Linked DNA regions of Rhinolophus ferrumequinum. The protein of the gene in region 3 interacts with the protein of the main gene of each other region in a biochemical or structural test. Links are inferred from orthologs where the notes say so. Each region holds a gene or a part of one and is shown on either strand. Other genes may lie near its edges. The genes, in order: RALA, SYNJ2BP and RALBP1.

Region 1 (10,028 bases), on a different chromosome or scaffold from region 3:
TAGAAGTCATTTCACAATCCTGCTGTTTTATTCTTCAAGACGACACTGTCAAACCCTGATATTTAGTTTCCATAAGTGAATTCAGCAATGAAATTGGATCGTACACTTCAAAGAGATTACTGTATCAAGCATTATGTCTACTGCATCTCATCCAGGACTAGCTGTTTAAGAATAGCATCATAATAATTTACGGAAGCTTGTTTTGGCTTGTACAGACTACCTTCTTAACATTGAGGAATGAAGTCTTCACGTTCAGGCGTAATTTTCTAAAATTTGTTCACAAATCTTTTACAAACTCAGAGCTTTACCTTAATTTCTTCTATATTATAACCAAATCCTTACGAGTAAAATAATAAGAAAGGTGTCTTAGAACTAAAGAGAAAAACAAAGAATAACTGTTACTAATGAAGGCTAGATAATGAGCTGCGTTTTTTTAAAGCTATGTTTTTTACGTAGCTATATACTTTTTTAAAACTAAGAGATGAACACATCCTTCAAATTAAGCCCATTTAAAAATGCATTAAAGGGCCGGCCCGGTGGCTCAGGCGGTTAGAGCTCCGTGCTCCTAACTCGGAAGGCTGCCGGTTCGATTCCCACATGGGCCAGTGGGCTCTCAACCACAAGGTCGCCAGTTCGACTCCTCAACTCCTGCAAGGGATGGTGGGCAGCGCCCCCTGCAACTAAGATTGAACACAGCACCTTGAGCTGAGCTGCCGCTGAGCTCCCAGATGGCTCAGTTGGTTGGAGCGCCTCCTCTCAACCACAAAGTTGCTGCTTCAACTCCCGCAAGGGATGGTGGGCTGTGCCCCCTGCAACTAGCAACGGCAACTGGACCTGGAGCTGGGCTGCACCCTCCACAACTAAGACTGAAAGGACAACAACTTGACTTGGGAAAAAAGGCCTGGAAGTATACACTGTTCCCCAATAAAGTCCTGTTCCCCTACCCCAATTAAAAAAAAATGCATTAAAAAAAACAAAACAAAACAAAACTGCACAGACTTGAATAGTGCAGAGAATTCTTCTAGCACTGAATAGCAATTAGACCCTTACAAGAGTTCTGCCCTCTTTAAGACTCCATATTAAATTCAAAGAGAAAATGATACATGGTCTGAAATAGTAAAAACAAACCCAGTACATCTTTGCTTCTTTTACCATGCTTCCACTTCCCTACAACCTCTCCCTCCACTGCCTCCTTTAGTGAAAGAAAGGAAAAACAACATGGTTTCAGGAACAACTAGGTTTCCAATAGTTCTCTCAAATCTCAAATACGTCAGAGGCAAAAAGCAGTCATCAAATACCAGAGATGAGTTCCTAATACTCTGCTTTTCCAGGACACTTACAGGAACAATGCACAACCTTTTTTTTTTTTTTTTTTTTTTTAATCACAGCAGCCATAGAAGGTGATAACGCTGTATTTGTAGGCACACTGGAGATAAACAGAAGACTGGCTACTGCCTGAGGCCACCTGGCCAGGGTCACTAGTAACCTCAGGCCCCACTTGATAATCAACAGTGCTGAGATCAGTATCTTCACTTTCCTCAAGCTCAGATCAATCAAAATCTCGTTTTCCTCAGCCTTTTAGGATTAAATGCAATACCAATGCCCTCAGAAGTCGTTAACTGTTACTATCAGGAGGGTTGATGGTAATGTCAATGAGATAAATTGCAGGCTTCCCTCTCCTTAGTGTCTAAGAATGAAAACATTTTATAAAACAATGGAAACCATGCACTGTCTCCCTACTTCTTCTAAATGATAATCTTTTTCCTCATTAGCAGCCTCTTATTAAAGTATTTTTAAAGTGACTGTCTTTGCCACCCATCTACGTAAAGGTTCCAAGTATATATACACTAACACACACATATACAAGAAGTGATACTGGTACACTTATTTACGCTTTGTAGAAGCTGAGCTTGCAAAACCAGTGCAGGACCACCACCTGACATTTGGAAAGGAAAGAAGATATAAGCGCTGCACTTTTTTATTTGGACCTCCATTAAGTGAAAATAACCCAACCATCTACAGTCAAAAACCATCTCCCACACAATAGCAGACAAGATCATTCCGTATAATGAGCCCTTTTTCCCCTGAAAGCCCTGCGAAGACAGTGTTGTATGAAGAACTGCTTCAAAATAGATGATACAGATGACTGCATACTCAGCAGACACACCAGAGAACAGCACCTGAATCTCTGAAAAGAAATGTGAAAGTGCTGTTGGTGGGTAAATCATGCCAAGGGCGTATCAGGACGTCAGAGGATTTCATGTATCCAGGGGGAGAATGAGCCCCATAAGCAATTCTGTGATGCACCACATTTCCCAAACAGCGGTAACTCCCAATTTCCTCTTTTTGATTAAGATAGGGTATGGTTATCAACTCCAAACTTAAATCTACTATCACCAGAAAATCTCCTGATAACCTTGGACAAACATGCTCAAGTGGTAAACATTGAACAATGGAATACAAGTTATTATGATCCCCAATCACAGTACCCTACAGATAATTTTAATCTTTCAGGTGAGGACAGTATTTTGAGAGAACAGCAAAGGATTCTTCTCGAATTGTTCTTTGGCCGTGCTAAAGAACACAAAGTCTGTATGTATCAACAAACTGGAACAAAAACAAACAAACAAAACACCTAACCCAAAATAAATGACTCCAGGAAGGCAACTGTGAGATCACCTACACATTCATTCATTCAGTGAAGAAAGAATGAATAACTTCTGTGTTCTAAGCCAGGTATCATGGAAACACAGAGATGAATAAGACATGGCTTCTGCCCTGAAGAAATTCAACGTCTAAAAATAATGTTTTTAGAGCCACAGTCATTATATAATAATAATGGATTAATACACAGAAAAACATAAACCAATATACATTTAAATGTATTAGTAAACATAAGCTAAAAGAAATGCCTTCTACAGTGAGTTTACTAATGAAATTTGTTATCCAATTTTTTTGGGAACGTGATTAAAGTTGCAATTTACTTTCAAGACCAGAATTAACTTACGCCCTGTTTTATAAAGGTTTCCCCTACCACCACCACCATCAAACACAATTTGTAAATTAGGTGCTTTTCAGCTTGACACACCAGTAGGGCGTGGCACTGGAGTTCTCACACAACCTCAATGACACTTGGATGAGCTCACACAAGTCTGGACATTCTGGTTTCCGGGCAAAGGCCAGTTAACTCCTTACTTCTCTCTAAACCTTGAAACAACACTGCGTGGTCACCCCCGCCCACTTACCACATATACCCAGGCTAACGCGTACAAACCACGTCTTCCACGGGAACACCTTCAGGAAGGAACCACGGAGGAAACACCCCCTCACTCCAAACATCTATATTTTCCCCGTTTTAAAGGCTGGGTTACGCGAATATGGGCCAAACCCGTGCAAGAGCCCAGGACCAGCCATTCGGTTCAGTGCGAAAAATCTAATGACTTCATTCTGAAAAAACCATTCCTTCAAAACTGGCACAAAACCTTGGCAGGGATGCTTAAAAAGCGACTGCTCTAGTACAGGCAAGAAGTGGAAAGAAAGGGACGAGGGGAGAGGGGCGGAGTGAAGCACGGTGGCGGCGGGTCCCCCAGGTCGCGGGCACCGCCCAGACCCGGACCTACGTGCTAGGGCCAGAGGTGCGGCGTGACCTTCCAACCAGGCCAACTCGGAGCAGGTACCCGGCGCGGGGACCTCGCCGCAGCCTCCCGTCCTCCGGGGTGCACTCGCCCGCACAGCGGCGAACACGGCGCCCGGAATTCCAGCTCGTCCTGCAGCTCGTTTCGGGCAGAATACGGGATGTGCAATCTCGGCGGCCGGCCCTAAGCAAGGGCCTCCGCCCGCCGCCGCCAGGACACACCCCCGCCGCCGCCCCTTCGGTGGCCCCCGCCGCTCCCGCAGCGGCCCGCGCGGGCATCGCTCACCTGCACCGCAAACCAGTCCACCGCCTCCAGGGCTCCGGAAGCCGCGGCTGAGCTGACCTCGGCCGGAGAGTGCTCGGCCGTTTTCCGGGAGGCTCCGCGCCGGGAGCGGCAGAAGGAGGAGTCCGACGGGCGGCGGCGCGGAGCCTGGGCGGCAGGAGGAGGAGGAAGAAGAGGAGGAGGAGGAGGAGGAGGAGGAGGAGGACTTCGGGCGCCCGGCTCGAGGGAGTTCCACCCTCCTCCCCAAGGCTCTGCAGCAGCCGCCGCAGATCACTTCCGGGACGCTGGGGAGAGGGGCGGAGCCCCAGGGGGAGGGACTTCCTGTCCTCGGGCAGAGAGTAGGGTATGGGGGGCTCGGGCTGGAGAACAATGGCTGGAAGGGCGTGGGCTACCCAGTGTCCACCCTCTGCGTGTTGAGGGCGGGTTGCGTTGCCTTTCGGGCGGCCTGAACCACAGCTGCCTCCGCCCGACAAAGTGAAGTCACCTCCTAAGGGGCCCGGGAGTGGCCGCCGCCTCGTGGAGGTCCCCGGATCTCGGCGTCGGTGCCGCGACGTCCTTGTCTCTCTTCTAGGAGATTAAAGGGAGTTCTTGGGGGAAGAAAGGGGAGACCGAAGGCCGCCATCTTGCTTCTAGGGGACAGCCCCTTCTCCCGCGGCGTCCTAGTATGGAGGCCGCTCCGTCTTGAGGCCGGGATTTCCTGGAGTGGAGCCAGCGATGTGGCTGGTCACCGGATTGGTCAGTCGCCTGCCCTGGCTGGAGGGTCTCGGTGGCTGCCCCTGGCCTCCCGTCTAACTGCTGGTTCCTGGAGACCTCGCCTCCGCGGGTTGTCGAGCCTTTTCTGAGGGTCTCAATCCCCCTAGGGCACTGCGGCTCTGGGGTGGCGTTGAGCTTATTCTGGTGTCCCACCCTGTGATTTGGTAGCTTAACTTGGAAGTAGTTCCACAAAATCGGTTGCTTTATTTAAATTCTTTCACAGATTTGAAATAGGTGGTTTGCCTAACATTCGTTAGCAGCTACAGACCCTTATGTCTTGACATTCTCTCATCTCCCTCCACCCCCAAATTTGGTACCAACTCCCGTGCTTTGCACAACCCATTCAAGGAATGTCCAGTCTAGTGGGTAGACAGACGTGGAAACATATAATTATGATTGCGAATATGGTATATAACGTATACAGAGGAAAGAATTGATGATACTAACTGCGTTCGATTTTAAAGATAAATAGGGGTTTCCCAGCACAAAAAATAGGGGATGGGATGGCAAATCCATATCCTGACAGGCCATGCAGCACAGGGACAAATAATGTGTGTTGAGAAATCTGAGTGGTGATTACAGAACTTAAAAGTTCAAACCTGAGTTGCTGAAAAAGATGAGGCTGGAGAAGCAGTCAGGAGCCAGATCATGAGAACCATCTTTCCAACCGTGGCGATGCAATGACTAAAGTGGAGTAATGTCCCAGGATAGTTGTACAATTTAAACTGTAGGTGGAGGGCAGGTTAGCTGGGAGGAGCACGGCAAGCAGAGAGCTTATAGACAAGCAATTGCAGAAATGAAAAAGGATAAAAGGACCATTATGTGAGTGGCAGCCAGCATCCAAAGATGGATTCCTAAAATAGTCAGGAGGCCAAATCAACTGATTTTGATAATTGACGGCCGGGGTCAGGTGCTGGATAAGAGAAGGGGAGTGGCAATGATGCCATGTTTTGGTTTTTGAGGAGGATTACGATAGATTTTACCAAACAAGATAAGGAAAGATTGGAATGGGATGGGTGAGGGGGTGCAGAAAATGAGTGCCATTTTGGACCTGGTGAATTTGAAGTACCAATGGTTCTATCTAATGGCAGTTGTTATATGGATCCAGAGTTCTGGAGAGGATCTAGGCTGAATTTAGAAACACTCCAGGTTTGTATTACCACATCCAGGCAGACTGCAGTCTCACTTCACTGAGCAGTTTCAAAACCACTTCTCCTTTCTCCCTACCTTTTCTTAGGAAAATTGCTTAAATATTACATTAAAAACACCCACATGTTGTGATATATGCCCCTCCATCGGCTAATATTCAAATGCTAATGGTCTAAGGATCATAAAGGTTAGGCTTACAGAGAATTGAATATGACAGTGGTAAATAGTATAGCATCATAAATTCATAAAATGAAATGTAATTCTAATAAAAAGGTTTTTAAAATTTAATCATTGACAGTGGACATGCTGGCCACAGATGGATTGAGAAGGAGTGAGTAGGTCCTGCAAATACCTGCTGAATGGAGAACTGGAAGGAGGATGACTTCAAAAATAAGCAATGGGAACACAATGCAAGACAACTTTAAATTCATTTATCAGCTGCGTCTTGGTTGTTCACAGCCATGCGAATCTGTCTTAAAGCATTCAGAAATAGAATGGATATTTTGAGCAGACACTTCAGAAAACCACAAATAGCAAAAGCCCTATAAATAATAGCTACAGTGTCAAAGACTTAGTTTTTATTCTGTAGCATTTTGAACACGAAAAATGAGGAACTCAACATATCTTTAGTTTTCAGATTATTCAAATACATTATTTTCAATTTTCCCAAAATAGAAATACATTTAGGTATATTAACCATATAATGGATAATATACTGAACTAATATACTGAACAGGACATGAGAACAATGATCTTGAGTCCCTTTTTTGTTCGTTGTTCATTGTATGACAATAGCAAAGTCACTTACCCTCTCTAATACCTAGTTTCTTTGACTCAGATAGAGATAATAACTTTGTACCAGCCTGCCTCTCAGAGATACTATAATAAGAAATTAATGCTTTATAAGCTCTTCGAAGTACTTGGATGGAAGGGCATAATTGTAAATGCATGTTAATAATTAGCACTAATATCAGTAGAACTCATGAGCATTCCTAGATTTGCTGCCTGGGCAACTCAAAGGTGTTGAAACAGAAACATGAAAGAGTCTGTGTTAAGATTTCTTTTTGATTTGTAAGTTTAATTTTTATCTATGATCAAACCTGTATTTTAAAAGATAGATTGAGTAAAATGTAAAAGGAGAGAAGTTTTAATAACTACTACAATTCTTAAGTTCACTGCTACTTATAGATAATAAATACTTTTGGGAGAAGTATATGGTAGGTATGCTTTTGTTAGAATCATGTTTCAGGTTTAACAATTTGCTGCTGTTATTGAACTGAAAATTTCTGTTAAAAGTGTTACTCATGTCCCTACAGAATAATAAGAATTTATATGCAGTTAACATGTTTGTCTGAATCATCATGAAGGTGAACATTCCTGTGAAGCTCCTGTCATTTCCATCATTGTTGAACCAGAAATACAAAAACATAGTCCCGTGAGGTTTTGTCCAATGTCATGTTGATGTAAGAAATGTCCGAAACTGTAGAAAGATTTTATAAAATTTTATTTGAGCCAAATTGACAATTATTGGGAAGCAAGATCTCAAATGCTCCAGAGATTTGACAACTTTGCAGTTTCTTTTATGCATTTGAAATTGAGGGAATGTAAGGAAGATTGCACGAAAGTGGGAGAGAGCAGGTGGGACTGGATTACAGGAGAATTAAGGTTATGTTCTCTCTTGAGGTGGTTACATTTATTTCAAAGGTGCATTAACCTAGGTGGACGAAAATAATGGACAGCATCTGCTTAGAGCAAAGATAAAGAAGTTATATGCCTGGGTGTGACTAGCCACCATGACCTGCACAGTTAGGGATTTGATCAGATTGCCTGGGGAAGTTACTTTCAGTAGGACCCTTTTTGTCCACTGTCTGTCCCTAAAATAGATGAAATTTTACCCATTAGATTGGTGGCTTCTGAATTTCTCTTGAAAAGTGTATGCATATATGAACACATTTAAATATATTTGTAGTTATATAATATGTATATATATGTGTACTTATCATATATCAATTTATAAAAATATTATGAATGTATATTAACTATACATGTAGTAACAACAACAAAACTTCTGAGGTGTGTTAGAGGCCAGACAAGAAAGTAGTTGGTTAATAGCAATTTGTCACTATTGAGGAAAAACAACTCAAAATACGTTTTATTATTAGAATTATGAGCATTGTTTATAACACCTTAATATTTGTATTATTACATTTTGTTTTCACTACTTTGTGAGATAAGCATTGTTCAAAAAAAAAAAATAGAGACAGAGCTTAAAGACTTGCTACAAATTGTCAAGTAGTGTCGAGCGTCCAGCTGCAACATGGGCAGTGAGAGAATGAGAAGGTGTGGCAAAGGGTTAAAAAAGAAACAAAAATCAAGAAAGTTTTGAAATGGGCCAAAGATCTCACAGCCTCAAAGGACTGAGAGCCCCAAACCGGCCACCTTGTGGCTTTTATTGATGTACATACAAGGAAGTAGCATTGTTTTTTCTAGGGTCTGCGAGTCTCATACATCATACCAGAAAACTGGTTCAAACCAATCACCCTTGCCTGCCGAAAGTCCCATGATGTATAAATAATTATTGTTTGTACCTCCCCAGGGGACAAAACCTTTATGTTGAAAACCTACTGAGATGGAGAACTGATGTTATCACATCTAGAATCACTTCTCAAGCAGGTTGTGGGAAGGAATACCCTGGGAAGCCACAGAGGCAGAAGCTCTCCTTAGATGGGGGAAGGTAGGTGGGGGTCTATACCCACCTCTATCAACCCCATGAATTCTCCTGGTGGTCCCCACACGACTGTGCCTATCTTAGGTTGTTCCTTTCTTGAGGAATCTTACCCGTCATTGGCTAGCCAGCCATCCTTTGGGGCCAAACAAGGAGATGGCATAAAGGTGAAGCAATGTCCCTGAGAGGAATAGTCTCACAGACTCTTCTTTTTTTTTAGGGGTAGGCACGAGGGGACAGACAGCCAGGCAGCTGCATGACAACGAAGTAGCAGAGTCAAACTCAAATTCTTATCATGAGACTCAAATGCACTGTTCCTTCTAGTAGTTTATACCAGGGTTACCAGCTTGATATGACAGTTATGCGAGAGTATGTATAGTATGGTTTATAATATGCATATGATTAATTGCCTGCAGAATCTCTAAAATTCAGCCAAACTTAAAATTTTTAAACTTCTTATGTTTATGACTGTATCTTCACTGCCTTGAAAACAGGCACTTAGTCTTATTCATCTTTGTATCCTTCATGGTATCAGGCATAAGTATCTAAAATACTTTAGGGCTGAAAATAAATATATTGTAATGATTAAATAATTTAAGGGAAAAAAACCCATATAATCACCTCTAAAACTTTTAAGTGTGTGTGCGTCTTTTCTGCGCATCCAGGTAAAGAGCATTTGTTTTTGTGTGTTTTGTAACAAATTAGTGAGGCCATTGCCTCAGTTTCCTGCTTCATTTTCATTGGCATCAGGCCTTGGAGGGATAGGCTTAAGTAGGTGCCATAGATGACACTCACCAGTATACCATTCTTAATGTTTCTTTTGGATGCAGATATTCTAGATGAACCTTTTGTCATCCCACTCTAATGAGAATCTAGAAAGAGTGGAGGTGTGACAATTTAGGTCTTTATAATGCTTGCCTTCATATCCACCCTTGTGGACCACATATTTCCATATTTTTTTCTATCAGGATTAGAGGATGAGACTACTAGAATAATAGTTCCCAAGCATCGCTGATGATCAGAATCACCTGTATAGCTTCAAAGGCAATTCAGATTCTCAAGTCCCACTCTAAACATAGTCCATCAGAAAGTCTTGGGTAAAGCCCAAGGTACCTGTAACACCCTCCTGTGAATTCTGATCACCAGTCAGGTTTGAGAAGTTTTGGTTTCAGTAACTTACCCAAAGTCACGCAAAACCTTAAATAAAGCTGGAAACTAACTCGAATTTTATGAGCCAAAGTAAGTTATCGTCACTGGACTTTTGCTGTTGTTTTACTGACTGCATGTGATGGGGTGGAAAGGTGGAGAGGAAGACAGCAATTTTATTTATTTTATTTTTAACATTCTACTACATGGTTTTCAGAGTAAATGAGTTAATAATATCTGTAAAGTGCTTAGAACAATGCCTGGCACATGGCAAGTACAGGTAAGTGTTAACAAATAAATCTCCATTGTCTAATTCCAGCATTCACTTTGTCCAGGGT
Region 2 (10,423 bases), on a different chromosome or scaffold from region 3:
TGGAACCTTAGGGAAAGGTTAAATTTCCAGAGTAGCATTGAGAACGTTTCAAAATCCAGTCTCTACCTCTCTCAGCAACCTCCTCCCCCTTAACTCTTCTTCTATCTAGTCTGGTTTATCACTGACCTCAGAATGTGCTTATCTTCTTTTCTTTTCTCTATTACTGCTTAGGCCATATCCATCCCTGTTCCTGACACTAGCCTAAAGCCTGTCTATAAAACAAACATATGTTCTATCTTCTTGTAATCGATTAGTCTAGCCCTTATCAACAGCTCCATTCTTTGAATTTTTCCATCACAAGGGCAGATTAACACACTCCCCTCCACACTTCCTTTGCCCTCCCACTACATACATGCTCGTCATAGTCTATAACCTTAATCTGCATCTTTGCACTGAGATTTAACTTTTTACATGTGAATGCCATGTCTCCATTGGAACGTAATTTCCATGGAGGCTAGACTTCATGTAATTAAGAGAAAACAGCACAAGGATACAGCATTTTAGTCTCAGATCTATTTAATAGATGAAGGAACAGATCAGAAAACTGTTAACAACAGTCTCAGGGTTAAACATAGAGCCCATGACAGGTCTGTAGAGGCTTAAATGCTTGGACTTAATAGGGTTTCTTGTTTTTAGGTTTTCACCTTGATATGCCCTCAGCTCTATCAACAGCAAACTATAAAAACTTTCCACTGCAGATTATGTGAGTCATTTAAAATGCCCCAAATCCTTCCTGGAATAAGGTATAATGTAACAAAATAAAAGTCAGCAGAAAGGTTGTCAGTCAACTTCTTAGATACGGCTACTATAATGGGAGGAGGCATATGGAATAGTAGAATCAATAAATCTGGGTTAAATTCCTGCCTCTTGAAACTTACTGGCTTTAGAACTTTGGCAAATCCTTAACCTCTCTAAGAGACGATTTCCTCCAATAATGTGGATTAATCACTTACCACTCAGGGTTGCTGTGAAAATTAAATGAGTTAATACATATATAACGTAACTAACACAGTGCCAGAGAGATAATACTTGCTTAATTATTCATTATTAAAACATTATACCAACCCATTTATTCTCTGAAACTCCTTTAAATAGAGTAGAAAAATAGATTTTCTTTCCTTTTTAAAGTTGGTATATCAGGCTCCTTGCTAAAATCCACTGATGCCTCAGGAACAAGGAATCCTAATTCTAATACCCAATGTACAGTAGCGTTGTCTTTATGGACAATCTCTACCAGCTACAGTGAAAAAAAAGCTAGATTAGATTCTTGTCATATTTCTTAAGAGTAACTGAATCTTTCTAACATTAAGAATTCAATTTGACAAAAGAAAAAGTGGGAGGCTTAGAGACTATAATCAAGCTGGACTCCTATAAAAAGAAAAGATAAATAGTGTTCCATAAAGCATAAAAGATATGCTTCAAACCCTTGAAGGCATTTGAGCACCCACTGTTAAACCAAAATGGCAAGAATCATAAAATAACATGTAAAATGTGCCAAAGGATCCTGAATTCTTGGAAGTTAAAAAAAACCAAACCTCCAAAGTCATATGGCCTAAGTCTCTCCTTGTTCAGTTGAGGAAGTTGGTACAGGAGAGAATTCAAAGCATATGCCAAGCTTCTTTTTGCCTCCCCAGATACTCACTTCATTGTCCCAATTTTCCTAAGATTTCATTATTTTCCTTGCAATAAGCAAGATCAGAAAGAATAGTTCATTTGCCTTGCAAAATGGGCCCAAACACTGGAAATATCCAACACTCTTGCCCCTGACAACACTGGCACAAAAAACAAAGGTATATACATTCTTGCAGTTACCTGATTAAACTATCAGGTCCCTGCATAGGAAGTTGTACAAAGACAAACAGTGACAATACTGTCTACAAACAGAAATGCATACTGAGAACAAGAGGATTTTCATAGTTCTATTAAAATAAAGATCTCTATGAGACTATCAAAATTACTGGAAGTTTCTAGTGGTGATAACTGACTTCTTCTCTGTGTATCTCCATGATAACACAATGAAGAAAAGCTGAATTAGACTGTGAGACTTCTTAGGAGTACCACATACCTGGTAAATAGCTGTGAGGTGATAAACAGAAACTTAATATCTTTTCCTGTTAACTGAACCAACCAAACTTCAAATGACTGTTTTAATCCAAGTTCAATACAAAATTTGTGGCTCTACTCTCCTAAACTCAAGTTTATCAACTTATGTGAGTAAGACATGAACATGATTGGGAAAATTGAAGCAGTGACCCAGTGAATAAATCCATTCATTCATTTTGAATAAATGCACATACAATCCAGAAATTAAACTGCTTCTGGGTGAAATATATTAGCTAGGTATAATTATTTTTCTTAATTAGTCCCTTGAGGTTTGTTCTAACTCCAGTGGTTCAGAAAAATGCTAACACTAGGAACTTTAGGTCTGCAAGATCAAGAGGATCAGAAATTTTAGCAAACGGTAAGCTGAACATTAAGCAACACTGTTAGGTAAATACTAAAAAAGGTGAAGTGATACTACTGAACTTTAAAAATATTTAGTGACTAGAACATGCAAATAATATCAGAGTCTGCTCTGCTCTAGTTAAGAGATCCTGGAAATACTGCTGGATACCACAGCAAAAGGACTCTCTCAAAGTACATTAAATTCCTAGGAGTCAAACCTCAAACCACATCACAAGAGAGCTAATGTAATAACTAGGCATATTTAGGCTATAGAAGGAAGAGACAAAACAGAAGAACAGCTAGATGCCATTAAATATATTTGCAGGGCAATCAGAAAATGTATTCCCATTGTCTTAATGGACCCTAGGAAAACAAGCACCAATTGATGAAAACCACAGAAAAACAGATTTTGGTTTAACAATAATTTGCCATATTAGCCTGTAAAGTCAATAAAAATTAAGTGAGAGGAGAAATTTACATAAAATAGGGAAAAAAATGAATCTAAGAGACGGGAATAAGAGCTTTTGACAAAAGTTTAGGAGCTCGTATGGAGCATGACACTAAACCATGCAGATTAGCAATGAATTATATTCTTATAAATAAAGTCAGTTTCCAATGTTTTATAACAAGAAAGAAGGCATGGATGATTCTGAAAGCCATATTTTATGGAGAATAATCTTTGATATGAGAAAAGATGATGGACTGTTCCAGGTACGGGTGATGGGAACAGAAAGGAGTGGAAGGTTTACAGAAACATTTCAGAGATAGAGCTCATGGTACTTGATGACTTATTGGAGACTCTTGGAATAACAGTATTTAGTGGGATTTACTGTGTTTATCTAACCATTCATCTATTAAAAATAATAACAAAAGTAGCAATTACGTAGTGCTTACCAAGTGTCAGGCAATGTTCTGCATGTTTTACACAGATTAACTCATTTTGTTCTCCTAACTCTATGATGCGCATTGTACTATCGTGCACATTTTACAGACCAAAAACTAAGAATTACATCAGTAAAACTGGTCAAAGAATAAATGTCAAAGAACTAGTAGGAGATTAGGTACCAGATTTGGACCTACATAATCTCAAAGCTAAAGCTCTGAATCCATACCCTAGAGAGCTGTAAAGGAAAGGCAACAAAATTCTAGGCAGGCAGCATGTAGTAATGTTAAGATGTTAACATGTAGTAATGTTGAGTGAGTGAAGAGTAATCAGGGGTAAGAGGACTGTAGGGGTAAGTGAGGATTTGGCCGTATCAGAATCAGGTAACCACTATCCATGTCAAGAAACAGAAAACTGTTGGCAGGCCAGAGCATATGCGCTTGTTTAAAAAAAGAAAAAGAAAAAAAAACCCAAACCATAAAACACCTGCATTGAGTCCAAATTCCTAGAGATGGGATCTAGGAATTAAGTTGCTGGGGTTTTTTGTTTTGTTGTGCTTTTTTAAGCAAACCCAAAAACCCTGGCTAATTTTGAGGCAAAACCAGGTTTGGGAACTGCTCTAATAGATCACTGAGGCCTCTTCGTGCTTTAATATTCTAGTTGACATTTTCCCACAAACAAGAGGGGAGCGAGGGATACAAGCACCAAGAAAACGGCTGAGTATTTACAGTCCACACCATTTATGCTCCCATTTTTACTAAACAGTCTCTCATAGGAACAGGTATAAAGCAGGCAATGGAAGGAGGGGTGTGGTGTTCACGGTATGCTGGCTAAAAAGCAGGCTTTCCCCCAGGATTTTCTGGTACCATTTAGCAAAAAGGAAACCCGTCATGACCATAAATACATGTGGTATCCGACTCAAAAATGAGGTGGATTCCTCAGATCCATGTCTGGCTAATGATGGATACCAATATATTCTTCTACGTGCTCAAAAGCGTTGCAGGAAACCTCTAGCTTGGGGCCTGCCTGCTCCGAAGCCAAAAGAATCTGGCTCAGCAAAAGAGGTGTTTGCTCTGCAATTACACCTCAAGTACCTACTACCAAAGATGACCTGTTCCGCACATACCTGAGGGTCCTCTGGTAAGATTAATCTCTTCCTCAGTGACCAAATAATCCACTCTTCCGTTCATGTTTTACTGCCTGTCTGGCTTCCCACCTGGGTCAACTAGGGCTCGCACAGGTGAAGGTGAATCAATCTCGGCGCGGCGCCCAAAACACACCACTTTCGATTTTAGCTGCCCTCGGACCGGAAGAGGAAGCCGACAGCGCTGGGAGCGTCAGGAATGCTGGGAGTCGTGGTTCTGGCGCGGAACGCGTTGCGTTACCTCACCCAGTCCTCAAAGCGAACTGAGAAGTGAGCGAGGAGCAAGATACCCTCTTAATTTGCTTTGGGGGTGGGGGGAGGAAGGATAGTAAAAGTAAGAGACATAAATAAATTGATATTGTCGAGGAAAAATTAAAAATAAACTCTCCTGCCATCTCAGAAAATCTCCACAAATGAAGAAAAGAAAAAAAGAAGAAAAAAATCTCTATTACTCAGTAAGCATTAAACCAGCCTGGTTTGGGTGTCTCAGGAAATCCGCTAATGGGATTACAAAGACAGAACTCTCACCCTTTTATGTAGCCAAGCTGAACAATCTGTTACGTGCATATTCTCATGTAAGAAGTTAACAACACCATTCGCTATATACATTCTTTGGTAAGTCGCCCTTGGGGTTACAATCTGTTACTTGACATTATCCAAAGAAAAAAAATAAAACTATCTCTACGACAAGCAGGTACATAAAGCTTGGAGCATGGCACCTAGGGTAACTCCTATAGTAAAGTTAGGTGGGACAATATCTTCCCTGATAGTTACATTTCAAAGAGTTGGCTCCCAGGACTTTGAGAAAAACTTTCCTGAGTTGTCCCTGACTAGAGGCTTGTTTAGCTTTAAAAAAATATTTATAGACATATCAATGGGACAGTGGAAGGATTTATAATTACAGATTTGCTCAAGCAAATCATTTAAAGGAAAAGGAGGAGAGGTCTCTTCATTTTGGTAACAGGGAAAAGTCAACCTTTTTTTTTTTTTTTAAGACTAGTGGATGAACTAGCTGTGACTTCAACCCAGCTTCCTGACTTTTGAGGTAGAATTCCAAAACAGGGCTTTAAGGAACTGTCAAGGGTCAAAAATTTACAAGCTTGAAGGGCCAGGAAGGTGATCTAAATGTGGGAAGAAACCTGGACAGACCACAGGAAGTAGTGGGGACCTTGGAGGACCAAAAAGTGCAGTTCCAATTAATGCAATTCAAATTCAGATTAAATAATCAAAACAGAAGCTACTGTGTTTAGCAACAAAACAAGAAAGAGGCAGATTCCTCAGGAAGGCCTCTTATTTGCTAATCCTGAGAGAAGTTAATATGGAATAGTGGAAAGAACACAGGAGGTAATGTCAGAAGACCTGATCTCAAGTTTTGGTTCCATCTTCTTCCAGTTGTCAGGCTTTGAGCAGGGAACATAATATCTCCTGTGTTCCCCCATCTGAAAAAAGGGAATAATACAGATTTTTAAAAGGTTGTTGAAAGGATTAAATGAGATGGAATTTTAAAAATTACATCTCAACTTCCAACTCATATTCCTACTACTGTCACACCCAACCGTCCTCAACATATGTTGGTTGAATGAGTGAATAACAGGATCATAATGAAAAGCAGAGTATGATAAGTGACAAAACTAAGGTATAACTAAGGGACATTGGAATACCAAGAGAGAAGAGATCAAATAGAAATAAGAAAAGAAAATCAAGAAAGTCATCAATGAAGAAATTTGGAGGAAAAAAGTTTTTTATAGACTACTAAGGGGGAAATCACTACTCTGTACCTGGGAAGAGAGTGCCCTTTTCATCTGGGCACACAGCTTCAGCAGAAACACAAAGGACAGTAAAAAGAAAAGAGATACCAAATAAGTTCAGGAAATGCTGGCTGTAAGTGGAGTGACAGATTAGGTGTGTAAATTGCCTTTATATCTTAATGTAAGTATAGTTTTTTTAAGAATGAGGAAACTTTAATATTTAGAGAAGCAGAAAACAGGACATAGGGATTTCCACTCAGAGAAAACAATTGAGAAAAATTATGGAATCAGGATAATGATGGGAGTAGTGAAGGAATAGCAAATAGAGTTCATGAGCGAAAAAGCAGAATGGGATGGTAGGTGATGACACTGAAAAAATAGGCTAGAAACAGACTGTGGAGGAAAACAGATTGTGGAGGAAGTGTATGCAGAAATATACACTTAATTTTATATGCAATATGCTAAGATGGAAGTTTGTTTCTCTCATATTAAAGAACTCTGGAAATAGATGGTTCAGGCCTGATATTGAGGCTGCTCGGTCATCGTGGTCCAAGTTCCTTCCTTTCTGTCTCCACCCAGTCCCATCCCTGGAGTGTGGCCTTTGCTTCATGGTCCAAGATGGTTAAGATGGGTTTGGGAACTTCAACCATCATTTTCACATTCCAAGAAAGTAATGAAGAAAGGGCAAAGAAAGGTCCACTCCATACTTTAATGGAGACCTCTTGGAAGTTTCATGCACTTCTTATATCTCATTAACCAGAAGCCTGGTCTTATGGTTAAATGTAACTATAAGGGAGGCCTAGGATGTATTTTAGTGGAATGGAAATGTGCCAACTAAAAAAAAAAAATTAAAATCAGGGTTGCTATTATAAATTAAAAGATGAGAACGGATATTGGGAGGCCATTGGTAGTCTCTGACACACAAAGCGACACTTTCTGTCTGAACTAGCCTTTCTATTTAAGGCTTTATGACCTTGAGATATGTAAAAATTATGAAACTTGGTGACTTCAGCCTATTTACAAGATTAGTGGAAACTTTGCCTCATACCTTGAGGTACTTTACCCATAACTTGCTCTATTTTTGCACATTTCATATCATGTATTCACTTTGTCTTTCCAATCTCCTGTCTGCTTCTACCCCCTCCTACTTCAATATTTTATTCTATCAGCCTCTTGATGACTAACTCATGGATGTGTTTGTATTTAGGACTTAACCACCTCTCCTTTGATAGGCATTAGTTCCAATTTGCTGCCCTATAACTGACCTCTTTGTTTTCAAACTCTTGCATATTTTTTTAAATGAGGTGATTAAACCCCTTTGTGATTGACACATTTTTTGTATTATTACATTTAATCAGATTGTATTCGTTTGTTAGAGCTACCATAACAAATACCACACACTTAGTGACGTAACAATAAAAATTTATTTTCCCACAGTTCTGGAGACTAGAAGTCCAAGATCAAGGTATTAGCAGTATTGGTTTCTTCTCAGGCTTCCCTTCTTGGCATGTAGATGTCTGTCTTTTTCCTCTGTGTTTACACGATCTTCTGTGTGTGTACAGATCTGTGTCCAGATTTCCTATTCTTATAAAGATACCAGTTGTATTGATTTAGGGCTCATCCTAATGACCTCATTTTAACTTATTTACTTCTTTAAAGACCTTATCGCCAGCAGGCCAGAAAGGATTGGCACAAAATATTCAAAGTGATGAAAAGCAAGGACCTTCAACCAAGATTATTCTACCAGCGAGGCTATCATTTAAAATTGAAGGACAGATAAAGAGCTTTCCAGACAAGAAAAAGCTAAAGGAGTTCACTGAACCAGTATTACAAGGACTATTAGAGGAACTTCTTTAAGATGGAAAAAAAAATCAAAACTAGTAATAATAAAATGGCAACAACTACATATCTATCAACAATTACTTTCAATGTAAATGGATTAAATGCTCTAATAAAAAAACATAGGGTGGCTGAATGGATAAGAAAACAAAACCCCTTGTATGCTGCCTACAAGAGACTTCAGATAGAAAGTCACACACAGACTTAAAGTAAAGGGATAGAAAAAATTATTTAATGAAAATGGGAAAAAAAAAATAGCTGGGTTAGCAATACTTACACCAGACAAAACAGACTTTAAAACAAAGACTATAATGAGACAAAGAAGGACCCATAATTCCACTTCTGAATATTTTTCCGAAGAAACCCAAAACGCTACTTCAAAGGGACCTGTGCATCCATATTTTCATTGCAGCATTGTTTACAATGGCCAAGATGTGGAGGCAGCCTGGGTGTCTGTGAATGGAAGAATAGTAAAGAGGAGGTGGTACATATATACAATGGAATATCGCTAGACCATGGAAGGGAATGGGTTCTTGCCATCTGCGGCAGCATGGATGGACATGGAGGGTACTGTGCTGAGTGGAGTGTCAGACAGAGAAAGACAGATGCAATGTGATTTTGTTTATATATGGAATCTAAAGACCAAAATAAACAAACAAACAAAACAGAAACAAATTCATAGATACAGAGAACATTTTGATGGTTGCCAGATGAGAGGAGGGTTGAAGGGGGGGGGGGGGCTTTGAAAAAGGGGAAGGGATTAAGCAGTACAAATTTGTTGTTATAAAGTAATCATGGGTATGTAGGATATAGCATAAGGAATATAGTTAATAATATTGTAATAACTATGTATGGTATCAAATAGGTACCAGATTTATCAGGGTGATAGATGGGAGGAGGTTTGCGGGGGCAGGGTGAAAAAGATGAAGGGATTAAGAAGTACAAATTCGTAGTTATAAAACAGTCATGTGGATGTAAAGTGAAACATAGGGAATATAGTCAATAATATGGTAATAACTATGTATGGTGTCAGCTGAGTGCTAGACAGGAGGATCACTTCTTAAATTACAAAATTATACAAATGTCTAACCACTATGCTGTACAACTGAAATTAATATAAAATAATATTGTCAAAAAAATTAAATATACTTTTTTTTAAAAAACGACCGTATCTCCAAATATGGTTATATTGTTAAGGTTAGAGCTTTAACATATGAATTTTGTGGGGACAAAATTTATCCCATAAAACAGATTACAGTGAAGTCTTATAGACTTTAGAACTGCTCAATATCTTTAAGATGGTACTGAATATCTGCTCCAGCCTATTACAAGTTGGTTTTACAGTTTAACCCTGATAGCAGTATTATTTCTTTAACTTCCAAGTTCTTGGGGAAAATTGCACTGCAGACCTTAACTATTTTTTTTTTTAAAGATTTTATTGGGGGGGGAACAGGACTTTATTGGGGAACAGTGTGCACTTCCAGGACTTTTTTCAAGTCAAGTTGTTGTCCTTTCAGTCTTAGTTGCGGAGGGCGCAGCTCAGCTCCAGGTTCAGTCGCTGTTGCCCACCACTCCCTCCGGGAGTGGAACCGGCAACCTTGTGGTTGAGAGGACGCGCTCCAACCAACTGAGCCATCCGGGAGGCAGCGCAGCTCAAGATGCCGTGCTCAATCCCAGTTGCAGGGTGCGGCGCCCACCATCCCTTGCGGGACTTGAGTTGAACCGGCAACCTTGTGGCCGAGAGCCCACCGGCCCATGTGGGAATCGAACCGGCAGCCTTCGGAGTTAGGAGCACGGAGCTCCAACCACCCGAGCCACCGGGCCGGCCCCCAGACCTTAACTATTGATAACAGCAATTACCAGCAAGGTATTTACAATGATCTCACCTTATAGCAGCCTTTTTAATTGGTACTCTCCATTCTTTTGAACACACACACACACACACACACACACACACACACGGTGCCAAAAAAAATGTATACACATTTTAAGAAAGGAAAAAACTGTATTAATTATAATACTCAATATATACCGATAACAAAAGATGAATACAAGTCACGTTTGACTTCTGCAATTACAAGAGGTGCTCAAATTGGTTACCATCAACCTCCAGACATTTCTGATGATGGCAAACTACTGCTTGAGCATAGATAACAGTTCTTAAAATGTGTATACTTTTTTTGGCACTCTTGGTACACACACACACACACACACACACACCCTCTTCACAAGAAATTTAATTTATTCCCATGGCTATAAATGCCATTAATATGCCAGCCCTCACCTCTTCACTTAGCATCAGTCTCGTATAACCCAGCTGTCTACCTGTTATCTCAAAAGTTGGCTAGCAATGGGACAAAATTT
Region 3 (10,325 bases):
CTGCAGAGGTCAGAGAACACATTAACAGGTCTCTTCAGAAAGAAGGGAACGCGCTTTTGCAAGACTTCAGTTCTGTCAGCTTTTCTCACCTCCCAGCCTCCATACTGTCTTCACTCGCCACCCAATTTCTGGAGCGGAAGTGACGTCGATATCAGGAAAACACCCTTTTTAATGGATGTAAGACTCAATATTGCTAAGACAGCAAAGTATTCCTGTAACTCAAAGTGATCTATAGATTCAATATAAACCCTATCAAAATTTCAACAGCTTTTTTTTGAAGAAATGGGAAAAGCTGATCCTCATGATGTTGAAGGATGTTTAGCGCTGGCCACCAGCAAATGCAAATCAAACCCACAATGAGATACCAACTCACCCATTAGGATAGCTAAAATAAAAAAAAAATTAAAAGTTAAAAAAAACCCAAAACAGAAAATAACAAGTGTTGGTGAGGATGTGGAGAAATTACAGTCCTTACACCGAAATTACAATCCTTACACAGAATAGTGAAATGGTTCAGCTCATTTGGGAAACAGTCTGATAGTTCCTCAAAACATTAAACATAAGAGTTACCATATGATCCAGCAATTCCACGCCTAGATATATATCCAAGGGCAATGAAAACATATATCCACACAAAAACTTGCAAATTTTCCTAACAGCCAAAACTTGCATTTCCTAACAGTCAAAACTTACATTATTCCTAACAGTCAAAAAGTAGAAACAACTAAATGTTCTTCAACTGATGGGGAAATAAAATGTGGTATAATCAGACAACAGAATATTATTCAGCAATAAAAAGGAATTAAGTCCTGATATATGCTACAATATCAATGAATCTTGAAAACATGCTAAGTCAGTCAGTCACAAATGATCACGTATGTGATTCCATTTATATGTTCAAAATAGGTAACTCCACAGAGACAGAAAGTAAATTAGTAGTTGTTAGTGGGTGAGAACAGGGGGGATGGTGAGTGACTGATAATGAGAAAGAAGTTTCTCTTTTGGAGTAATGGAAATGTACTAAAATTGATTGTGGAGATGGCTGCTCAACTCCGAATATACTAAAAACCACTGAACTGTACACTTGAAAAGGGTAAACTTTATGTTATATGAATTGTATCTCAATAAAGGTGTTTTAAGAAGAAAGCAGACTCCAATCTTGCCTGTTAAAAATCCCTCCCTTAACCCTTCATCCCCTCTGCTAACACCTCCTACTCTTCCTTTTATAACTAAGACTTGTTTATTCTTGAAGTAATCTTCATTTGCTTTCTCCTTTCTCTGACCACCAAATTACTCCTCAATTCAATGAAAGGTAGCTTCTTTCCATTGTTAGCATTAAGTAGAATGCCACAAAGTTTCTCAGTTATCAAATTCAATATTCTTAATCCTTGCTTTACTCAAATTCTCAAAGCATTTGAAGTATAGCTTCCTTTTTTTAATTTTTATTTTTTTCTGGAGTCAGTTATGAAATATAGCTTCCTTTTCAAACAATCCCATTTGGGATTCTACATTTTTGTCATGATTTCTCTGCATCTCGAAACAGGAAATTTCCTTTTCCAGTTCTTCCTCTATCTGGCTCTCAATGTTGTTCTCCATGTCCTATTTCCAGAACTACTCTCCATCAGTAAACTCTTCCTAGTTCACGTAAATCAAAGGGTTCAGCTACCACCTGCAATAATATACAGCCTGATGACTGTTATCAAGACCTCTCTCTTGTACTCCAAACCCACATACACAACTCTGCAGATGTTTCCACCTGGATGTTTTACAGAAAAACTTCCACTCCGTATATCCAAAAGCTAAAATACTATTCCTCCCCAAATATGGACCTCTTCCAGAATTCCATCTCATTGTTTATTCCATTACTATTGTTTATTCAATCACCCAAATGAAAATCCAAGTCATTTTACCCTACTATTTCTCACTCCCCAAATCCAATTGTTACTGAATCCTATGACTTCTACCTTCTAAATATTTGTGTTATTAACCTAATCCTCTGTATCTCCACTGACACTACCTTTGTTTAGGCCCTTATCTGTCACCTCAAGTATTACAAAAACTCCTAAGCAGTCTTTCTGCATCCTGCCTTATTGTTCCTCTATCTCTTCTGAAATCTATACAATAGCAGAATGACCTTTCTAAAATAAACCTTATTATGACTCTTTCCTGATTAAAATTCATATATTCTATTATTATCTACAGGAAAAAACGTCTACCATCCTTAGAATAGCATGCAACATTTGAAGGATCTATCTGCGCAGCCTCATCTTCTGCTACTTACCATAATCCCAGTATTTATAATTAACTCAACGCTATAGCTGTGGAGAGCTTCCCATTCTTAAAAGTGTACCATGCTCTCTCTAATTATGTCCCACTTTCCCTCTGCCTTAAGTTGCTTTCTCCCCATTTTCTTCCTCAGTCATGCCTAAGCCTTCCTTAAGTTAAAGGACATAGACTATAAAGCACCTGATATAATACTTAACACATCAGGGAGTGGAAATGGATGGGGCTGGCTTAGGCCTCTCTTGTTTATCCAGTCTCAATGACTCCTATGTGCTTACAAGGTAAAGCTGAAATTACTTCTACTGTATACAAGACTATCCATAATTTGGTCTCTGCCTACCTCCCCAGTTTCATGTCTTGCCACCACCCTACATTCTTGCTGGTTACACCTGCGGATCCTACAACTCATTGTGTAAGTTTAGACTCCTGTGCTTTTGCTGGCACTGTTCCTTCTACCTAAATGGCCACCTTTCTATGCATGTATACCTGTTGTTTTCATCCCCTCCTCTACACGCTGTCTCCTTACTACTGCCCCTTCCTCAGTCTCTCCTTCTCTTCCTTAAGAAACTGACCACTTCCTCATTTCTACACCCACTGTATCCGCATACTTTCTCCAATCAAAGCAATCTTAAAAACATATTGTACTTGTTGACATTTCAAGTAAGAGATAAAGTCTTACCACCCTGAAGGCAGGCTACTGCCTTATCCATTTGTAAGTCCTCATCTCCTGGCACAGTACCTGCTACAAGTAATTCCTCTACACTAAATGACCTGCATTTTTCTTTATTGTCTCCTTGTAAACTAACATAAGTTTCTCTTGGAATTTTTCTTTCAGAAAAGAAAGAACATACTTTTGGGTTACGTTCGGGACCCAACCTCTCCTGGTCAAGCATACAACTGTGCAAATAGAAATTAAAGTTAATATGTGTTTTTTTTATACCACTTCTGTTTTTCTAAATGAGGGGAGAAATGGTCCCTCCCAGATCTAAAATGAGAAATACTATTCTGAAGAGATAGCATTTAAGTTATGTCACATTGCTTGAAGGTACTTTGTTTAAAGAATTCTCAACTGTTACTGTTAAACTAACCTACCCTACATAAATTTATGGGTCACTTATGAAAAGTGGGAACCACTCTACTTCCTTCCTACATCTACTACTGCCAATACAGCTTATGGCAATTACTCATCTTCAGCAAGATACTCAGAAAGTAATAATCAAATCACCAAAATAACTCCAAAGGCAGAAAGTGAGGTTACCTTTCTCATTCACAGTCCCATTTAAAAGTGCTGCCTCCGTGACCACCAAACCAAAAGTGGGCCTGTTGCTTATCACCACTTAAATATTTTGTGAATAGCTGCCAAGTATGACGGAATGCTACTCAAAGTGCTCCAGCATTTGAACATGACCACTCCACTAAACAAAAAATTCAGTGATAACTTTTCTAATGAGGCTAGATGGTGTGTTAACTCAACGTCCAAACGACTGTACTTCTTTGACACGCACATTCAAACTATCTCGAGTTAACATTTTAATTATTATCTAGAACTCTTTTAGGCCCTACGGGAATCCTGATGCTTGCTCAAGAGGGAGGCTCTGTAGTAATGAATCCCCAAACTTGAAACAGCATGATCACTTTAGATAAGACTGAGATGTGAAATATTTTGCAAAACCTGTTTCACTCACACAACGATTTAAAAAAAAAAAAAAAAAGCTGACCTCAATAACAGCATTTTGGTACAAGCATACTTGAAAGTGCGCTGTGAAAGGAATTCTGAACCCCAGACTGTCCGTCCATTCCCACTGAAACCTGAACTAAGGACCGCAGCACCCAAAGGAGCCCCACTGCTTCCATGCCAGCGGTGGGAAACATCAAAAGCGTGTTCCTAGTCCACTGGGCAAGCACTAGAGACGGGTCAATATTCCGGATGCGATTAGAAAATAGCGGTTATATAAAAGACAGTCCTCTCCTCCGTTCCGGTGTGCCCCAGAACTGCCCTGAGGCCTGGAACCCCAAGGAGGGAGGGGTTCTGTTCCTGACTCCCCTCCTCCCGACCCCAGGAGCACCAAATCACAAATGCGGCTGCCATGAGGGAGGCCCGGCTGGCAAGTGGGAGGAACGCACAGCGAAGGGGGCGAGAACTGAAGAGAAGCCTGCGGGCTATGAACCCGCAGTGGGGCAGCCACGCCCCCCACCCCCAACTCCAGCCCGGCGTGCGGCTAGCGCCCAGCCCAGCACGCTGCCAGATACAGACGCGGCTGCGGAGAGGGCTCTCCGGACACGCGACTGGCAAGGCTGCGACCCCGCACGCCACCGCTGACCGCTACCAACCTGAGCCCGCCGCCGCGCGACCGGCCGCCCCCGCCACAGCCACCTCCTCCTCGCGTTCACGCTGCCACCGCAGCCACCGTAGCCGCCTCCTGCGCTGCGCCCCAGACCGGCCTTGGGAGCCCCATTCCCAACCCGCCCCAGCCTCCGCCTGTTTACAATGATTGGGACAGAACAAGACGAGCCGGCCCAGCGCGCAAGCGCATTCCCTCCTCCCGCCGCAGCCGGCTTCCCGGGTCCTCTTCTGTGCGTTGACGGCTAAGGCCGACGAGGGTAAACGCCCTGTGCCGTCGCGCGGGGCACACTGGGAGGCGTAGTTCTCGAAAACCCAAGCGCCCAACCTACAGGAGGGCACTTCGTCGAGGAAGTATACTACAACACCCAGGAAGAACCGCGCCTCCTTCGGCCCAGTAGCTCGCTGAGGAGACTGAGGGAGCGCGAGAGAACGCGCCGCGCTAGCGCTCTGTGGGAGCCTGCGCAGTTCCTGGTCTTGGGGGACTGGGTGGGACATACACCTACCCCAAGCAAATACTGTCCGCGTAGGTGGTTTGGGGGCGCTACCTGTGGTGATCTTGAAAAAGGAAATACCTTTCGTCTCCATGCTGTGGCAAGCCTGTTCCTCAGCTACTGAAGTTCAGACCTTTTGTGCCAGCGGGCTTCTGTTGTCCTAACCAGTTAAACCAGCCTAGGAGGCCGGCCCAGCCTGCGGCTGGGTGGGACATCTTCCCGGCCTTGGGCTGGGTGGGGCATCTTTTGCTTGGGGTGGGGACTCCTGCACTGGAGGGAGAGGGAGGTTGTTAAAGCAAGCGCTGTGGGTCTTTAAGGAGAGATTTACATAAAACTGTCGGGACCTTCTTCAGAATTCCCAAAGTGGGTGCTGAAAAAGGAATAGTCCTTGGTTCTTGTGTAACAGCAGGACTGCTGTCTTCCATCGCCCTTTTTGGTTCAACATTTACAAAGGAACATCTGAATTAGAACCGCCCAGAGCATGGTTAGCTTGCAACTAGAACTGAGCCATGAGGAAGACTGGAAACAACTGGGTTTCTGGAGGAAATCCTGCACAAAGGGGTCGTGCGGGGCGGCCTGTGGGGTCTCTGGTCCCGCTCCCCACATAAGAATGCAGGACATGGTGAGGCCAAAAAGGAACACCCACGGAGCCATCGGTAGGGGAGTCATACTACTATATTCTCATTGGCGGCATCCGCCTCTCTGCAATCCACTCTTGCTAGCTCAGCCACCATCTTCTTGCTAGCCCCCATTTTTTACTAGTGTAGCCACGGCAGTTATATTAGTGCCCAATGGCTCACTGGTTACAGCTGACAGCCAACTAGCCACAGCTGATGGCCATTTGATCACAGTCGATGGCCATTTACTACCTGAGCCAGCACCTTTCCATGTGAGGCCGAGAGCCTGGAAACTGCTTTTTGGGGCTCTATCCCCACACTCCACCCCTACGGGGTCTCGCCTCACAATCTACGCGACAAGCGTCTTTCGTGAGGGGCCCTGTGCGAGGAGCCTGGAGGTGAATGCTATTTCCTGGACACAGCCAGGCTCTCTGGGCACAGCCAGGGTTTCTCAGGGTACCACCAGTACTTCTGGGCACAGCCAGACTTCCTGGACTTCTTAGGGTACCACTAGTCTCCCTGGGCACAGCCAGGGCTCTCAGGGCACTGCCACTCTCTCTGGACACAGCCAGACTTCGACTCAGCCAGGGCTCTCAGGGCACTGCCACTCTCTCTGGGCACAGCCAGACCTCCTGGACTCAGCCAGGGCTCTCAGGGCATTGCCACTCTCTCTGGGCCTCTTGGTACCATGGTGGAACAACAGCGACTCACAGTCAAGGTGCTTACATATTCTTGATGGCGGCCGGTCAAGACACAAAAGCAAATATCCGCCAGTACCACTACATGGTGGTATGTTCCCAAACAGTCAAGTGGTCCATTAAATTAGGGATGGAAGGCAATTCCCCACAGTCCACAGTCATTCGCCAGGGCTGTCCTGGGGGTGAGGGATGACCTTGACCTCACCCACATCTCCCACGGAGGACTCAGCAAGCCTTTCCTCCTGGGACAAGTCCCGTGTCTGGGCTGCCTCAGCAAGAACTTCCCAGACCACAGGGCTGCAAGGACCTTTGCTTTCTCCGGCCTCTGCTGGTTGGGGAACCGTCCACGTCTTTCCACCCCTCCACGGGGGTCGAGCTCTCCCCGGCAGCAGCTCCTACTGGTCTTCCTAAGACTGAGTGTTCATATGCACAAACTGCTCCACCGCCCTTCGGAGAGCTTTGGCCGGCACCGTACCCTGCTCACTGCGCCATTTGTCGTGCAGGGGATCCTGCCGACTACGCCATGTGTCATGCGGGGCGGCCTGCGGGGTCTCTGGTCTCGCTCCCCACATAAGAATGCAGGACATGGTGAGAAAAAGGAACACCCACAGAGCCATAGGTAGGGGAGTCATACCACTATATTCTCACTGGCGGCATCCACCTCTCTGCAATCCGCTCTTGCTAGCCCAGCCACCATCTTGCTAGCCCCCATTTTTTGCTAGCCTAGCCACGGCAGTTATATTAGTGCCCAATGGCTCACTGGTTACAGCTGACGGCCAACTAGCCACAGCTGATGGCCATTTGATCACAGTCGATGGCCATTTACTACCTGAGCCAGCACCTTTCTATGTGAGGCCGAGAGCCTGGAAACTGCTTTTTGGGGCTCTGTCCCCACAAAAGGCTTGAAGAATTGTTCTATTAATGCATGGCTGGAAATCAGAGGTCTTTTGAAGTGTTCTTGTTTTATAAAATTTAGCAACTTATTAGGGGAAATACGATTGGGATCGTTGGTCCTTCCCAAACCCTTCCATTCCTACATGCAATGCTCTTTAGAACTTCATTGCGTATTTAGATTGACCTCTGTAAGCCATCCTGCACTATACCTCCCAGATCAGCTTCTCACAAAACTGACAGTAGATCTCTCTCTCCGTTGCACTCTGCATTTCCTACCTCATAAAGTTCAGCCACTGAGCTTGACATTCAAGAGCCTCCCACAATTGGATACCAAGATGGTCTGTGGTAACCACTGTTTTCTGATTGCTTGAAGTTTTTTTTATTGCCCTTTTGGCAACAAAACAATGTCCTCTGACTACTCAGACGGGCATGTCATCATGATAGTTACTCTGCCTCGGGCAACACTGATCGGGCCAAAAGATAGACACTGACTCAAGTTGGTGCATTTCTGAGCCCTTGCTTGAAATTGCTAGACGGATAGGGATGAGAGGGGAAGAAGCTTTTTACCGAAGTAACTGCAGCTGGCCATGTTCTTCACAACACTAAGAAGCCTGTCTGAAGTAGGAAGGGATGAGGCCCAGAGGTGGGGGATGGAAAGGGAGAGACACAAAGAGCTGGCAGCATGAAGACTATAGTTTCAGTTTCAGAGGCCATGATTTTTGTATGACTCTTCTTTAAGTGCTTTGAGTGTGTGAGCCTAGCTAGGTGAGCCAATGCATTTATTTATTATTATTTAGGGCTAATTTGTATAGTTATAGAATATATTTGTTGGTTGCCTCCTGAGCATTTGTTCCTCCCGTTTAAGTCATGTAACATAACCATTCCCTCTAGTGGCTGAGAGTTACAAAGATGATCACACAACCCAATCAGAACCAATGAGCCCCCCAGAGACTTGAGCTGGGACTTCTAGTAAACTGCAGCACACTTCCTCTTCTGGTATGGTGTAAGTATATGAAGTCTGAAAATGTAGCAACTATTTTGTTTCTTCAAGAGGAAAGCCTAAAGGGATAGGGTTCAGGGGAGAGGCACCTGTAGAGACTAAAGATGAAGTCAATACTGTCAAATGAGTGCTGGAAAGGAGAGGAACCTTGTGTTTGGTGGCATCATTAGAGCTGCACTATCAAATCTCACCTGTTTGACCTATAGACTAACCTATACACTACGTAGAATTGTGAGCCATAAATGTCCTGCACTGTTTAATCCAGTTTGTATTGGGTGTTTTCTGTGACTCAAAATTCTAAAAGTTCTAACTAATTCAGTTGGATTTCTTTTATATGATATTTAAATGTCATGACTAATACAAGTTCCTACTTAAAAAGAAACTGGAAGAGACTTTCAGTTATGGCTATGTGATATGGTCAACAATTCCTCTGCACACAAAACAGGTATAATACTGGACAAAATTGTCTAAAACAACCATTTCAGGGCACTAGACTATTAATAATAGACAACAATTTGAGAAACATCTGTTCTTGAAAAACTTCTAGAAATTCTAGGAGGAACAATAGATGTCTATGACCTTCTGCCTGAGACTGCTTTTTTACTGCCCTGTCGTCCAGAACTGTAGTTTTATCAGTGGGTAGCGCTAGCCAAGAAAACAAGCAGCTTTGCTGCCAGAGAAGACCGACTAGATTTGTGGTGGGAGGTAAAAAAAAAACCCATGGCTTTGCCAGCTGGAGGGAGTATAAAATGGTGCATCTGCTGTGAAAGACAGTACTGTTTTTCCTCAAAATATTAAATACAGAATTACTATTTGATCCAACAATTCCACTTCTGAGTATGTACCCAAAGTAATTGAAATCAGGGACCCAAAGAGATATTTGCATATTCACATTTGTAGTAGCATTATTTGCAATAATCAACAGGTAGAGGCAACCCTGGTGTCCACTGATGGGTACATAAAATGTGGTATACACATAGAGTGGAATATTATTTAGCCTTTAAAAGGAAAGAAGTTCTAACTCATGTAAAACAAAAGTCATGAGAATTGAAAGGAGAAATTGACAATTCAGTTATTGGTGGAGGTTTTAAATTCCTCTCTCAGTAAGTGATAGAATAAGACAGAAAATCACTAAGGATATTAAAAATCTATCAACCAACTTGAAGTATGTGACATAAATAGAAAACTCCATCTAACAACAGCAGAATGCACATTCTTTTCAAATGAAACATTGTCCAGGATAGATCATATGGTAGGCCACAAAACAAGTCTATAAATTTTAAAAGGATTGAAAACATGCAAAGTATGTTTTCCTTCCACAATGGCATTAAATTGGAAATCAACAACAGAAAGAAATCTGAGAAATTCCCCAAGTATTTGGAAATTAAATAACCCATCGGCCAAAAAGAAAGCACAAGAAAATTAGAAAATACCTGAAACCGAATGAAAACAAAAATACTGTAAGGGTAAAACTCTGAAAATCAATCACATAGTTAGACTTAGCTAGTTTGCAGATTGATCCACCCTGATATTCTGCTGTTTTCTCTTTGTTTCTCCCCCTCACTGCCCGATTCAATTGCTCTGCTTTCCTAAGGCTAGATGTATACCTTGTTAATCTACCTAATCAGCAGAACACTAACTTGCAATAGACTGAGTCAGCCCTCAGCCTTCCAGACACCGGCAACCAAGCTACAATTCTTGACTGTTATTCTCTGTAAGATGATATATGAATCACCCATAAGACCGGGTTCGAGATAACCATCGCAAAACAAACCGGACCCCAGGAGATGTTCTACCAGAAGAGTCACATGACTAACTCCCCTTTCCTTTGTTCTACTTCTTCTTGTGTACCTATCAAACCTTCTGACCATTCTAGGAACAAGGAGATGTACTTTAGACAGGAGTCCACCATCCTCCCAGTACGCTGGCATTCTGAATAAAGCTGCTTTTCTTTCCACCAACGTTGTCTTTCGATTTTTAACTTTTTCAAGCGGCAGG

The links.
Region 1: the proteins of RALBP1 (region 3) and RALA form a complex in vitro, tested with the Homo sapiens proteins (3 studies listed by BioGRID). The link is inferred for Rhinolophus ferrumequinum from reciprocal best matches to the Homo sapiens genes RALBP1 and RALA.
Region 2: the proteins of RALBP1 (region 3) and SYNJ2BP form a complex in vitro, tested with the Homo sapiens proteins (2 studies listed by BioGRID and IntAct, with this or other methods). The link is inferred for Rhinolophus ferrumequinum from reciprocal best matches to the Homo sapiens genes RALBP1 and SYNJ2BP.

What each region holds. Positions count from the first base shown.
Region 1 is NC_046303.1:53,322,174-53,332,201, reverse strand, and holds the start of RALA (ras-related protein Ral-A), read right to left. Parts: upstream 4,192-10,028; 5' UTR 3,921-4,191; intron 3,795-3,920; exon of another isoform or gene 3,621-3,794; intron 1-3,620. UniProt on the Homo sapiens protein: Multifunctional GTPase involved in a variety of cellular processes including gene expression, cell migration, cell proliferation, oncogenic transformation and membrane trafficking.
Region 2 is NC_046289.1:26,977,684-26,988,106, reverse strand, and holds the start of SYNJ2BP (synaptojanin-2-binding protein), read right to left. Parts: upstream 4,641-10,423; 5' UTR 4,519-4,640; coding exon 4,455-4,518; intron 1-4,454. UniProt on the Homo sapiens protein: Regulates endocytosis of activin type 2 receptor kinases through the Ral/RALBP1-dependent pathway and may be involved in suppression of activin-induced signal transduction.
Region 3 is NC_046302.1:8,542,284-8,552,608, forward strand, and holds the start of RALBP1 (ralA-binding protein 1), read right to left. Parts: upstream 4,791-10,325; 5' UTR 4,615-4,790; intron 1-4,614. UniProt on the Homo sapiens protein: Multifunctional protein that functions as a downstream effector of RALA and RALB. As a GTPase-activating protein/GAP can inactivate CDC42 and RAC1 by stimulating their GTPase activity.